Stegostoma tigrinum: one gene and its partner. The protein of the gene in region 2 purifies or fractionates together with the protein of the main gene of each other region. This does not show direct contact. Links are inferred from orthologs where the notes say so. Each region holds a gene or a part of one and is shown on either strand. Other genes may lie near its edges.

The links.
Region 1: the proteins of integrin alpha-6-like (region 2) and CD151 antigen purify together in Homo sapiens (co-immunoprecipitation; 3 studies listed by BioGRID and IntAct, with this or other methods). This does not show direct contact. The link is inferred for Stegostoma tigrinum from reciprocal best matches to the Homo sapiens genes ITGA6 and CD151.

Annotation. Positions count from the first base shown.
Region 1 is NC_081370.1:8,979,659-8,986,791, forward strand, and holds the start of CD151 antigen, read left to right. Parts: upstream 1-4,124; 5' UTR 4,125-4,317; intron 4,318-6,893; exon of another isoform or gene 6,894-7,133. UniProt on the Homo sapiens protein: Structural component of specialized membrane microdomains known as tetraspanin-enriched microdomains (TERMs), which act as platforms for receptor clustering and signaling.
Region 2 is NC_081360.1:49,272,715-49,280,505, forward strand, and holds the start of integrin alpha-6-like, read right to left. Parts: upstream 3,017-7,791; 5' UTR 2,812-3,016; coding exon 2,636-2,811; intron 1-2,635. UniProt on the Homo sapiens protein: Integrin alpha-6/beta-1 (ITGA6:ITGB1) is a receptor for laminin on platelets. Integrin alpha-6/beta-1 (ITGA6:ITGB1) is present in oocytes and is involved in sperm-egg fusion.

The sequences.
Region 1 (7,133 bases), on a different chromosome or scaffold from region 2:
ATATTTTGGTCATCTTTTGATGACTTTTAAACATTTCACAATTCTCTGTCTAATCTTTGCAACATCTATGTTTTTATTTTTTTTCTTTAAATTTGATACTAAATCTCACTTAATTAAATTACATTTTCATCTCAGACCTTTCAAAGGTTCACCTGAAACAGCAGGTAGATTGGGGAGAGACTCACATTGCCTCCTCTTTGCAGAACACCTCCGCTCAGTTCGCAACAAACAACTGCACCTCCCAGTCGCAAACCATTTCCACTCCCCCTCCCATTCTGTAGATGACATGTCCATCATGGGCCTCCTGCAGTGCCACAATGATGCCACCCGAAGGTTGCAGGAGCAGCAACTCACATTCCGCCTGGGAACCCTGCAGCCTAATGGTATCAATGTGGATTTCACCAGTTTCAAAATCTCCCCTTCCCCTACTGCATCCCTAAACCAGCCCAGTTCGTCCCCTCCCCCCACTGCACCACACAACCAGCCCAGCTCTTCCCCCCCACCCACTGCATCCCAAAACCAGTCCAACCTGTCTCTGCCTCCCTAACCGGTTCTTCCTCTCACCCATCCCTTCCTCCCACCCCAAGCCGCACCCCCATCTACCTACTAACCTCATCCCACCTCCTTGACCTGTCCGTCTTCCCTGGACTGACCTATCCCCTCCCTACCTCCCCACCTATACTCTCTCCACCTATCTTCTTTACTCTCCATCTTCGGTCCGCCTCCCCCTCTCTCCCTATTTATTCCAGTTCCCTCTCCCCATCCCCCTCTCTGATGAAGGGTCTAGGCCGAAACGTCAGCTTTTGTGCTCCTGAGATGCTGCTTGGCCTGTTGTGTTCATCCAGCCTCACATTTTATTATCCCTGTAAGTGCTCTCACTTTTTATACTCTGGCTTTCTCAAAGAACAAAGAACAGTACAGTACAGCAGCAGGCCCTTTGGCCCATCAAGACTGCACTGTTACATGATGTGTTTCCAAATTAAAAACCTTTTGCCTCTATGGTGTCTATATCCCTCTATTCCCTGCCTATTCATATATCTGTCAAGATACCACTTAAACATTACTATTGTATCCACCTCCAACAACTCCTCCAGCAGCACATTCCAAGGAGCTACCACTCTCTGTGTAAAATTAAACTTGCCTCTTACATCCCCTTTAAAGTTACCCCTCTTTACCTTAAATCTCGGTTCCCTAGTGATTGACATTTCTACCCTGGGAGAAAGACTCCAACTATCCATGCCCTTGGTAAGTTGGTAAACGTCTTTCAGCCCACTAATCCTTTGATGTTCAAGTGATAACTAACCAAGTTTCTCCAATCTCCCGTCATCTATACCCCTCAATCCTGGTAAACCCTGTTTCTGTACCCTCTCCAAATCCTCCACTTCTGGTGGTTCAGTGGTTAACACTGATGTCTCACAGCATCAGGGTCCTGGGTTTGATTCCACCCTCGGGCGACTGTCAGTGTGGAGTTTGAACATTCTCCTTGCATTTGCGTTGGTTTCCTCTGGGTGCTCCAGTTTCCTCCCACAATGTGCAGGTTAGGTGGATTGGCCATGCTAAATTGCCTGTAGTGTTCAGGGATGTGCAGATTAGGTGCATTATGGGGGAATGGGTCTGAGTGGGATGCTCTGAGGGTCAGTGTGGACTTGTTGGGTTGAAGAGCCTGTTTCCACACTGTAGGGATTCTGTGAAAATTCTATCTATCCTTCTGCAGCAACCAGAACTGTACACAATATTCCAAATGTGGCTGAACTAAAGCTCTGTACAGCTACAACATGACTTGCCAATTTTTATACTCTATGCCCTGACTGATGAAGGCAAGCATGCCAGATGCCTTATTGACCACTTTATCCACTTGTGTTTCCTCTTTCACGGTCCTGTGAACCTGTACACCTAATCCCTCTGTACATTGATCCTACTAAGCGTTCTGTCATTTACTGTATAACAATATATAGTTACATCCTGCTCGCTTTTGCCCCTCACTCACTCCCACCCCTCCCTCCTTTTCTTCTCCTGCTCTCCTCTTCTTCCCATCTTCCCTATCTTTTCTCCCTCTGGCTCCCTTCCAGTCTCTCCTCCTCCCTCACCGCCCAGACTTCCCCTGCTACACACTTTTATCTTTCCTTTCTCCTCTCCTCTTCCTCCTGTCTCCATTCTCTCTCTCCCTTTTCCTTCCCTCTTCTCCCCAGCCCTCTTCTCTCTTTCTTTCCTCATCCCTTCCTCTTTTCACTGGAAAATGTATTCTGTTTGTGAAACATCATTTCCCTAGCCCACCCACTGGTCTCCTCAGAGTGAAGGACAATAATGGTCCTCTCACAAATTGGGTTTTGATCTGTACTGGGCTTGTAACAAAGCTGCCTGCATCTCCCTCCCACAGCCTGTGCGTTCCAGCTAGACTCAATCATACAACAACACAGCTCACACTGAAACATGGTTTTGTTGTCCCCATGGGCAGGGAAAGTTCTTTCTCTCTTTTTGCTCCTTCTCAAAATGCAACCCCTGGTAGCAGCAATTCATCTATCATTTCTATCACATTTCAAACTGCAGTCCTTGCCCCCCACCCCTGCCTCCTGTGATACCTCCCTTAACCACTTAGCTAATATTTCCCCACCCATTGATTTTAGACACTGGAGAACAATAGTCAGAAATTCCCGGGTGGTGAGTAAGAATCTGGAATAATTCCCGAAAGTCTAACAGTTTAAATCCTTCAGGCTACAGCCTGTGGAATTGAGAATGGAAACAGAGTCAGTCATGCTAGGGGCTATTTTCCCTGTAGTGTTGGAGGCTGAGCAGGGACCTTATAGAGTTTTATAAAATCATGAGGAGCATGGACAAGGTGAATAGCCAAGGTCTTTTCCCCCAGGGTAGGGGAGTCCAAAACAAAAGGACATGGATTTAAGGTGAGAGGGAAAAGATTTAAAAGGGGCCTGAGTGGTAGCTTTTTCATGAGGAGGGTGGTGCATGTATGGAATGAACTGCCAGAGGACGTGGTGGAGGCTGGTACAATGACAACATTGAAAAGGCATCTGGATGGGTATATGAATAGGAAGGGTTTAGAGGGTGATAACAAGCTTTAGAGCTGGATGAACACAGCAGGCCAAGCAGCAACAGAGGAGCAGGAAAGCATAGTTGACGGTACTCTCTGGATGGTATGAAGTTAAATACAGTGACTGTCCAAAGAGACTTGGGGATTCAGGTGCATGGATCTTAAAATGTCATGAACAGACAATAATCAAGAAAGCAAATGGAACACTGGCCTTTATATCGAGATGACTGGGACCAGCATAATGATTTGTGGGCCAAAGGGCCTGTTTGTACGCTGTATAGCTCTGTGACTGGAGTACAAGGCTGTAGTTTTACAAAAACCTGGATAGACCCCCTCCCTTGGGGTATTGTGAGCAAACACGGGCACCACATCTTAGGAGGGAGAGATAGTCCTTGGAGGGGGTACAATGTCATCGAGGGCCGAAGGGCCTGTACTGTGCTGTAGTGTTCTATCTTCTAATGTAGGTTCACAAGAAACACACCTGGGCTTCAGGGGTTAAGTTATGAGGAGAAGTTATGCAAATTGGGCATGTTTTCTCTGCTATTTAGAAGGATAAAAGGGTGATATGATTGAAGTCTTCAAGATATTAACTGAAAAGGACAGGGGAGATAAAGGCAAACTCTTTCCATTGGCTGGTGATTCGAGAACTGGGGACATAGTCTGAGAATTAGGGCCAGACCTTTCAGGAGAGATGTCAGGAAGCACTTCTACGCTAAACGGGTGGGAGAGATTTGGAACTCTTCTTCCAGATCAGATTTTATTGGCTGATGATTTTAAATTTATTGGTAGATAAAATCTAAAATTTTACATCTGTGATAGATGAAGTTTCGTTAACCAAAGGGATATGGGCCGAAGTCAGGTATATAGAGTGAGGCCATGTATCGGCTATGATCTCATTGAATGGCAGAACAGGCCTCCTCCTGTTCCTATGTTACTATATTGTCACACAGCTGCTGGGAAGAGGTTGCCGTGTACAGACTGGCTCTTGTGCTTCTTACAACAGTGATGACATTTCCAAAACCCACCCATGGCTCTCAAGTATTTTGCTATGTCCAACACACTTGTAAGAAGTGCAAACGCTGTCTCCTTTCCAACTGGACTATACACTTCTGCCAGATCCGGGGAGGGTCATTGAGTCATACAGCATAGGAGAGGCCCTTCAGCCCTTCATGTCTGCATCAACCTATCTTTGCTATTCCCACTTTCCGGCACTAGGTCCACAGCCTTGAACAGTATGACATTTCAAATGCTCATCCGAGGACTTTTTAAAGGTAGGCAAACGGGAAGCTGGGAGAACACAGCAGGCCAGCCAGCGTCTGGAGGAAAAGTGCTGCCAAGGTTTTGGGTATTACCCTTCTTCAGGACTGGATATGGGGGGGGAGGGGGAGCTGCAGATAAATGGGGGGGCTTTAACAGATTGGTGGTGATAGGTGGACACTGGTGGCAGGTATGACCTGGTTGGTTGATGGGAGGGTTGAATGCAGTTGATGGCTGGAAGAGAGGGTCAGTAGGCGGAATGGAAGGGTCTGGAAAGGGAGGTGGGGGGGTGGCTGGGAATGTTATTTGAATTTGGAGAACTCAATGTTGAGTCCTACAGGCTGTAGGGTGCCCAGGCAGAAGATAAGGTGTTGTTCTTCAAATTTGTGTTCTTGTTCGCTGCGACACTGGAAAAGGCTGAGGATGGACATGTTGGAGGGGGGTGGTGGGTGGGGGGGTGCAGTGGTGGGGTTTGAAATGGGAGATGACTAGGAGGTTAGGTTGGCTGTTACGGGCCGGGCGAAGATGTTCGGCGAAACAGTTATGTAGTCTACGTTTGGTCACACTGACGTAAAGAAGACCACATTGGCATCATCAGAAGTAATAGACTAGGTTGGAGAAGATGCAGGTGAAGTTCTGTCTCACTTGAAGGACTGTTCACAGCCCTGAATATAGGTGAGGGAGGTGGTGTGTGGGCAGATATTGTATCTTTTATGGTTAGAGGGAAAGATACTGGGTGGGTCGGAGTGGTTGGTAGGGAGTGTGGCATGAGCTAAGGAGTGGCAAAGGGAATGGTCCTTGCAGAAGGCAGAGACGGGTGGGGAGTGGGAGATGTTCCTGGCGGTGGGGTCTAATTGGAATTGGCGCAAGTGTTTGAGGATGATACGTTAGATGCAGATGCTGGTGGATTGGAAAGTGAGGACAAGGAGGGTGCTATCTTTATTATGTTTTGTTGGTGGGTGGTTAAGAGCTGTGGAGCAGAGAATGGAAAGGGCACGGTGGAGGGCCGTCTGAATGACAGAAGTGGGAAAAGAGCATTGTTTGGAAAAGGCAGACATTCAGGATGCTTGGGAGTGGAACATTTTCTTATCAGACCAGATGTAATGGAGGCGGAGGAATTGGGAAAATGGAATTGGGTTTTTGCAGGATACAAGGTGGGAGGAGGTGTAGTCTAGGTAGCTATGGGAATATGTGGATTTACAGTAAGTGTCAGTCCGTAAACTGTCACCAGAAATGGAAATGGACAGGTCACAAAAACGGAGGGGGGTGTCTGAGATAGACCAAGTGAATTTGAGGTCGGTGTGGAAGTTGTTAGTGAAGTTTATAACCTGTTCCAGTTCAGCCTGGGTGCAGGACGCAGCACTAACGTAGTCATCGAGGTAATGGCGGAAGAGTTCGGGAACAATATTAGTATATGTTCTAATGAGCGTCTGTTTGACATAACCTACAAACAGGCAGGCATAGCTGGGTTTTTAAAGGTTGTGAGGTTTCTGCGTCAACTACCCTCCTGGGCAGTACATTCCAGATCCCTTCCACCTTCTGGGTGAAAATATTTTTATTTACAATCCTGTCTAAACCTCCTGCTTTTCACTTTAAACTTATGCCCCCTTTATTGACCCTTCAACTAAGGGGAACAGCTGCTTTCTGTACACCCTGTCCTTGCTCCACATAAACTTATACACTCCAATCAGGTTCCCTCTTAACCTTCTCTGCTCTAAAGAAAACAGCTTGAACTTATCCAACCTCTCTTATCATTGTCTCCCCACCTTCTCATTTATATTGTTTATATATTAATTAAAATCAAGCTGGCTGATAGCAGGGTGTGGGACATTGTAAAGTCAGATTCCATGAGTCTATGTCCGCTGACTGGCCTGTGGGACAGCTCTGCTAATTCAGCTACAGGGTCCCCCCCTCTCAGGGTCAGTTTGGAGGCCTCTGAGGGCTGTATTCTTTGCTCAGTCCAGAGGCTGGCAGCTATTTCTGTGGCACTCCTATGCAACCACTTGGCTCTCTAGGCCTGTTCAGATGGCAACCATAAGGAGGGCTGGCTTCTTACTTTAAAGTACAATAATAAACCTGAAGCTGTGTGTGTTTTTCACTGTGATCTCTCTCTGTGTATTTACTAGGTGTCCCGGGGTTGGCTTACTGTGTTTCTGTAGGTGCTAGATGAATGCAGTTACATTAGGATTGTAGTGTGGTGTCTCTATTTCACTCTGCGTGTATCCACTTAGGCACTAGGGAATGTGGTTATGTTAGTACTGCCCTGTGGTCTCCCTCTCTGTGTCTATGCACTAGGTGTGCTGGGATTGGCCTGACAGTGCTGTGTTTCACTCGGTGCTAGATGAATGCAGTTACATTAGTACAGTACATGGTGTCTCTCTTTCTCTCTGTCTCCATATCCACTAGATGTCATATGAATGCAGTTACAGTAGCATTGCCCTGTGCTCTCCCTCTGTGTGTGAATGCTCTGGGTGTCCTGGGGGCTAGCCTGACATTGCTGGGTTTCTCTCGGTGCTATATGAATGCAGCTACATGAGTATTGTACTGTGGTGCTCTCTGTTTCCACTAGGTGGTAGGGGAACGCAGTGACACTGGCACAACCCCGTGTGTGGGTGGCCCTGGGGCCAGGCTGGGTTGCTCCGGGATGAGGCAGGGCTCAGTTTGAGACGGGGCGGGTTTATCGATGCTTTGTCATTTTCGGCGAGTGCAGTTGAAGCGAAGTGAGTCGGAGGGCAGCCCCCGGAGCTGGGCACAGCCGCTGGGACAGTGAGAGGGTGTGTGTGTGTGTGTGAGAGAGAAACAGAAACAGCGAGCAGAGGCTACAGCAACC
Region 2 (7,791 bases):
CCATACCAAGCAACTTGAAAATGACAGAAGAGAAGCAAATATGTCAGAACACCAAGACTTTTGCATTCTAACCAATTTATATTTTTCACCCAGAATTGAGGTTGGGAGGTCATATTGAGGCTGGAGAGGACATTGTTTAGGCCAGTTTTGGAATATTACGTCTAATTCTGGTAATAGGAACCATGTTGTGAAACTTGAAAGGGTTCAGAAAGAATGTACAAGGATGTAGCCAAATGCGGAGGGTTTGAGCTGTAGGGAGTCAATAGGCTGGGGCTTTTTTGCGCGGAGTGTCGGAGGCTGACGGGTGACTTTATAGAGGTTTATAAAATCATGAGGGACATGGACAGTGTAAACAGCCAAGGTCTTTTCCCAGGGTGGGGGGAGTCCAAAACTAGAGAGCATCGATTTAAGGTAAGGGGGAAAGATTTGAAAGGGACCTAATGGGCAGCTTTTTTGCAGAACGTGGTGCCGTGTATGGAATGAGCTGCCAGAGGAAGTGATGGACGCTGGTACGATTACAACATACAAAAGACAACTGGATGGGTACATGAATAGGATGGGTTTAGAGGGATGTGGGGCAAATGGGACTAGGTTAATTTAGAATAGCTGGTTGGCTTGGACATGTCAGACCGAAGGGTCTGTTTCCATGTTAAACGTCTCTATGACTCTATAAGCGCTCAGAGGACCACAGAGCCACCATAATACGTAGATGCACGTCTATTCCTGCTTGTTCACCCCAGCAGAGCGGGAGCGTGTGAAATCTCAGTGTTGTAGCCAGTGAAGCTATTTGCTCTACTGCAACATTGCTCATTCCTTACCTCCACAACCACTGAAACCCATCCCACTCCTCCAAACTGCCTCGGCATTCTGGTTAGAAACCTTAATTTCATCCCACCTTATGTTCCGACTTCAATCATCCCCGTCCTTTCACTTCTTAATACGCTGCATTCAAAACCTATACTGTTAAGTCCTTCCAAAACTTCGATATTCCTCCATTCCGGAACCTCCTACAACCCTATATGCATGCAGTCATCCCTCACTTTTCGGACTCCGCTCTGAATTGCATGTGCTCTGATCTACCCTGGGCTTGCAGAGATTTCAAATGTTTTGATTATTCTGAAATGTTTTCCATGTCTAGGCCTGGTTATCTCCTGGCCCATTTTCAAAATGATCCTTTAAGATCTTCACTGTCGTTCTTTTTCGCTTTTACCTTTCGGATAGTTTCTTTCTCCTGTTAAAAGGCTGTACAAAGATGCAACCCTTGTGAGAAGATATCAATTCCAATTACGCCAGAAACAGGACGACACTAAACGACAAGTGGCTCCACAGCTACTGTATATTGACAAAGTTTTTAAAAATTGCATGCACTTCGTGGAATAAATAGAATATATTGGGTTTGTCGATGGTGAGCGGCTGAAGCGAAAAATATTTGCTGATGACATTCTGAGACTCGGTTTTAAAGGCATGCTATTTGTAAGAGGGTCATTCATTCCAAAAGGAGAGAAAGAACATTCTTGTCGTTTTTTGCTTGGATTTCGTTTGGGTCCCCTGCCACTATGTGTAGCACGATGCACGGGGGTGTGGGTGTGGGGTGAGGCTCCGGGATTTCCGTGCACCACAGTAACCAGGGCCCGGCAGCAAGGGAGGAGCCGGAGAGGTGCAGCCAATGGTACGGTGAAGCAGGCAGCTCTCGCCACCCCCACCCCAAAACCAACACCAAACACACATTCTCAAAAGTTTGTACACCAAACTTGGGATCACCCGAACAATCGCTGCATTGTCCTGGGCAAAAAGTCCCAGTAATTAAAACTAAGATTCCAACCACCGCAAGACTTTTTTTAAATAAAAAGATAAAGAAAAACCTATCACATTTTCTCAGAAAACAACCTGCTTCTTTGGTTAAAGGGCCGGCAGTCGAACGGGTAATAAAGCTCTGATTCCTTTCACTGGGGACAACTCGGGGCTGTAATGTAACGCTGTGATCAGATTCCCTGGAGCAGGGAACGGAGTCGACAACACTGCCCTAAATATCAGTGATCCCTGAAACTACCGCTGACCGAGTAGACACACTGCTCAATCCAAACAACCCCCGTGCCCTTTTAAGTCAGCACAGTGTGGGGCTGGAGGAACACAGCAGGTCGGGTAGCATCAGGCAAGTAGGAGAGTCGACGTTTCGGGTAGGGACCCTTCTTCAGAAACCCTCACTTTATAGATTCCAAACAGGATTGCCCTAAATTGAAAAGCTTTGGAATCAGCACTAAAAGAAAAGGGGGGTGGAGGGGTGGCGTGCTGGCATAAACCAGTGGAGGTTGCAGAGCGGAGAAACAGCGGGGTGGCCATGGGGATGACCACCCCCCGGGCGGTCGTTATGTTCCTCCCGGTGGGGAGGGCGCACGTGACCTTCCTGCACCAGCCGCTGCGAACAGGTCGCGCGGCTGCAGCGAGTACCCGAACACTTCGCACAAAGTCCAAAACAAAAGTTCGCTCAAGCCGTTTTGGAATCACTGCAGCCGAAGTGTGCAAGAGATCTCCCGCGTTAAAGCGTAACAACACAGAGGAATTTTCCCGACCGTTCTTCCACTTTGGCAATAGCGATTTCTTCACCTAATAATAAATCCAGTCTACAAATACTTACATTTTTTGATCTCTCGGCGTGAGCTGCCTGTGCATAGCAAGAGAAAACCCAAACAAGCTTGACGGCTTTCCGGTTTTCTTAATGAAATTTTCGGTATCCAAGTTAAAAGCTAAAGTCCATTTGTTGAGGGAAAACAAGGACAAGTAGATAAGAAACCATTGCTCCAGGGCCGCCATATCGGAAATGCCTCCTGATCTGTCGGAAAGTGCTTGCTAATGTTTTGTCTGATCTCGGGCTGTTATTTCTGAGTGGCTGCCTTGTGTTGAAGATGAGATTATAAAGTGACGGTGAACGCCTGGCCTCGCCTCACTCCGCCCCTCCCAGCCACCATCAGCAGCTCGCCGCAAGTAACCTGACCCCAGCCTGGAGCGTTTGTCTCTTCACCCCTCCCCTCCCCTCCCACCCCACCTCAGTTCAACCTCGGTCTCTGCCGTCTACTGCAGGCGCTGCTCAAACTTGTCTCAGTTCAGCAGAAACGAGCTCTCAAACGGTCTGCTTTACAGGTATTTCAAAAGCACGAACCAGCAGTCCAGTCTGCCAGCTATCATAGAGATCATGCCTTTGGAAGTTTTAACTGTTTTACTTTGCAATTTTCATAGAGGCAACTGCAGTCAGTATTTATTGTGGAAACCATTGGATTATTATTGACTACTTTGTAGCAATGTATACAAGTCTGTGACCTGCCGATCTAATTGTTGCAAACAGAATACTAAACGCAAGATAATAAAATGTGAGGCTGGATGAACACAGCAGGCCAAGCAGCATCTCAGGAGCACAAAAGCTGACGTTTCGGGCCTAGACCCTTCATCAGATGGGCCTAGACCCTCTGATGAAGGGTCTAGGCCCGAAACGTCAGCTTTTGTGCTCCTGAGATGCTGCTTGGCCTGCTGTGTTCATCCAGCCTCACTTTATTATCTTGGAATTCTCCAGCATCTGCAGTTCCTATTATCTCAGAATACTAAACGCATTAATGCACAAGTAATGAATATTCATTGAACTTTTCAAGTACAGCCACAATGGGTGGGTAATGGAACAGATGTGGGGGAGGGGCGAGATACAAATGGGAAAGGCCGGGCAGCATCAGAGGAGCGGGAAAGTTGACGTTTCGGGTCGGGACCGTTCTTCAGAATATTTTCTTCATTTTTCTGAAGGAGGTTCCCGCCCCCAAACGTCAACTTTCCAGCTCGTCTGATGCTGCCCGGCCTGCTGTGTTCCTCCAGCTCCACACTGTTGTCTGTGACTCCATATATCTGCAGTTCTTGCCATCTCATACGAAAACGGAATACTTTTTTTAAAATTTCGCAACCTCAGAACTTTAAAGTGTGATACAACCACCTTGCATTGAAATGTAGTCCTTGTAATGTAGGAAATGTGGCAGTCAAGCTCTGCGGAGAATAATGGCAAGATAATCCTTTTGTAATGTTGACTCCACGATAATGTATCGCCAGGAGAGGAAGGATGAATACCCTGCTCTCCTATGAAATAGTGTCAAGGATATTTTACGTTCAGTTTTGAAAGCCAGCTATGTTTTGATTTAATGTCTCATCCAAAAGTTAGCAGCTGTGTCAATCAACACCGATCCATTAGTGTACTGGAGTACAAAACCTAGATTCTGAGCTTAAATCTCCAGAGTGAGAACTGAAATCTCAATCTTGTAATTTCGGTGAAACTTTCATCCATCCAGTCAGCCATAATGGAATGAGCAGCACCAAACAAAACAAGTATGCCTTGATATTTTCCTGCTTGGTTTTTGGACTCTACCTAGAATGGTTTGATCTGTCGCATTTGGTGGTGGCCCACTGTTTTCGATTTAAATTCTCAAAACAATATTTGATATATGACGAATATGTGCACCGTGTAGAGGCCGGTCCTTGGATTATTGTTTGCTGATATTTTATCCAAAGTTGTTTCTTTGGCAGTTTTTCAAATGGTAATTTGCTATTGTCTTCCACTCTGAGGGCAGGTCAAGGAGGCAGATCCCAGCACTACCTCAACCAGAACAAGAATCGATGCAGGGAGAGAACAAGGTGTAGAGCTGGATGAACATAGCAGGCCGAGCAGCATCACAGAAGCAGGAAAGCTGACGTTTCGGGCCTAGACCCTTCTTCAGAAATGGGGGAGGGGAAGAGGATTCTGAAATAAATAGGGAGAGAGGGGGAGGGGGATAGAAGATGGATAAAGGAAAAGATAGGTGGAGAGGAGACAGACAGGTCAAAGAGGTGGGGATGGAGCCAGTAAAGGTGAGTATAGGTGGGGAGGTAGGGAGGGGATAGGTTAGTCGAGGAGGACGGACAGGTCAAGGTAGGAGATGGAGGTGGGAGGACAGGATAGGCAGGGACAAGCTGGGCTAGTTTTGGGATGCAGTTGGGAGAGGGGAGATTTTCAAGCTGGTGAAGTCCACATCAATACTGTTGGGCTGCAGGGTTCCCGAGCGGAATATGAGATGTTGTTCCTGCAACCTTCGGGTGGCATCGTTGTGGCATGGCAGGAGGGCCAGGATGGACATGTCGTTTAAGGAATGGGAGGGAGCGTTAACATAGTTCGTGACTGGGAGATGCAGTTGTTTGTTGCGAACCGAGCGTAGGTGTTCCGCAAAGTGGTCCCAAGCCTCTGCTTGGTTTCCCCAATGTAGCGGAGGCCACGTCTGGAACAGCAGATACCGTATACCGCATTAGCAGATGTGCAAGTGAACATCAGCTTGATGTGGAAGGCCTTCTTGGGGCCTGGGATGGGGGTGAGGGGGGAGGTGTAGGGGCAGGTGTAGCACTTCCTGCTGTTGCAGGGAAAAATGCTGGGTGTTGTGGTTCTGGAGGGGAGTGTGGAGCAGACAAGGGAGTCACAGATAGTGGTCCCGCGAGAAAGCAGATAAGGGTGGGGAGGGAAAAATGTCTTTGGTGGTGGGGTCAGATTGCAGATGGCGGAAGTGTCAGAGGATGATGTGTTGGATCAACTAGCACCTCGACAACTGAGCTAGTCAGTCCCTTAGTTAAAAATATAAATATTAGTGACGTGAGAGGTGGTGCAGTGAAACTGTCATTAGGCGATTAATCCAGGACCCCTGGCTAATATTCTGAGGATTGAATGAGTTTGAATGTCACCTAAGCAGATTGTGAAATTTGAATTCAATAAAGTTTGGAACTAGGAAATTGACTTAATGACATTCACATAACCATTGTTGTAAAAATCCATCTGGTTCAATAATGTCCTTTAAATGAAATTTACCATCCGTACATTGGACTTTTCAAAAATTCATTCACCGGATGTGGGTGTCACTGATTAGGCCAACTTTTACTGCCCTCCGAAATAGCCTCCCATGACACTTAGTTGTATCATTGCTAAAAATTCGAAAGAAACAAATGAAACCGGATAGACCACCTAGGCACCAGAAATGACATAAGCAAACACAGCAGTGTCAACCTTGCAAAGCCCTCTTTAATAACATCAGGGAGCTATACTAAAATTTGGACAATTGTCCCATGAACAAGCACACAATTATATTTGGCAGATAATGTCCCAAACAACACCATCACAACCTCTGACCCATCTCATGTGGCAGCACTGTGGTACACAGTTTGGAAGGAGTAACCCTGGGAGTCCTCAAAATTCATTGTAGACTTTATGAAATCTCTTGGTATCAGTTCAAAGATGGGCAAGGAAATCTACTGCTCACTAGCACCTACCTCCCCATACCTCCTCTACTGAGGCAAATGAATCAGTACTCATCAATGTAGAATGAAACACTGAGAATAGCAAAAGTACGGAATGTACTCTTGTGTGGAGGATGTCAATGTTCATCGCCAAGGGTGGCTCATTAGTATCATTAAGCGGATTGTGTCCTAAAGGACATAGCTGCTAGCCTGGGTCTGCAACAGCTGGTATTGAAACCAACAAGAGGAAACAACGTATGCTCTTATGGATGTGTCCATCCATGAAGATCAGTAAGAGTAGTCCCACAAGCAAATTGAAAGAAAATCTCTGCACAGTTCGCATGAAGAAAAAGTCTACCCTTCACAGTGAAGATACCATGCATCCTACTGTGTGGCACTACCACTGTGCTAAATAGGGTGGACTATGAACACAGCTATCAACTCTAAATTGGACAAATTTGAGGTAATGTGCATTCAGCAGCTGCAAATTATTTTCAATGATAGTCTATAATTTCATGGTCCAGCATATCCCTCATTACTTCCACCATCAATCGGGGAAATCAATGAAGAGTGTTGGATAGCATGCCAGAAGTGGCATCACACATCCCTAAAAATGAGGTATGACCTGAAGAAGCTGTAGCACAGGACAACTTGCAGGCCAAACAGTAAAAGCAAGTAATAAGCAATAGATAGAGCTGAGTGATCTCCCAACCAACTGATCAGATTTAAGCTAAAGAGTCCTGTCACACCCAGTCATGAATAGTGGTTGGTAATTTAAAACTCACTGGAGTAGGAGGTTATCCCTATTGCAAATTATTGGGGGGACCACAGCATATTGGTGCAAAAGGCAACGCTGAAGTATTTGTTTTCGCCTACAGCCATAAGTGCCAAATGGTGATCATAAATGCCAGTCTTCAGCCTATTCAATTCCGTATATCATAAGAAATAGCAGATGGCACTGGATACGAGTCCTGAAAATATTCCAGCAATAACATTAAACATTTGTATTCCAGCACTAACAATCTCCCATTGAAGCTGCTCCAGTACAACTGCACCAGTGACATTGATCCAGCAGTGTGGAAAATTGCCTAGGTATGTCCTGTTCCCAAAACACAGGCAAACCCAACCCCATCAATTACTGCCCATCAGCCCACTGTCACTGATCAGCAAAGTGATGGAAGGGGTCATTGAGAGTGTCATCAAAATAGCATTTGCAGAAGGAATAACCTGCTCACTGACAGTTTAGGTTCTGCCAGCGTCACTCATCCCCTGATACCCTTGGTCCAAATATTGACAAAAGCGCTGTACTCCAAAGATGAGGTGAAACTGATTGCCCTTGACATCAGAGCAACAAATATGGCACAAGGCCCCTAGCAAAATCGGGGTCAGTGGGAATCAGGGGGGTAACTCTCTGCTGGTCGAATTTATACCTAACGCAAAGGAAATTGATTGTGGTTTTTGAAAGTTAATTAACTCAACCTTTTGATTTAATTACAGGAGATCCTCGCA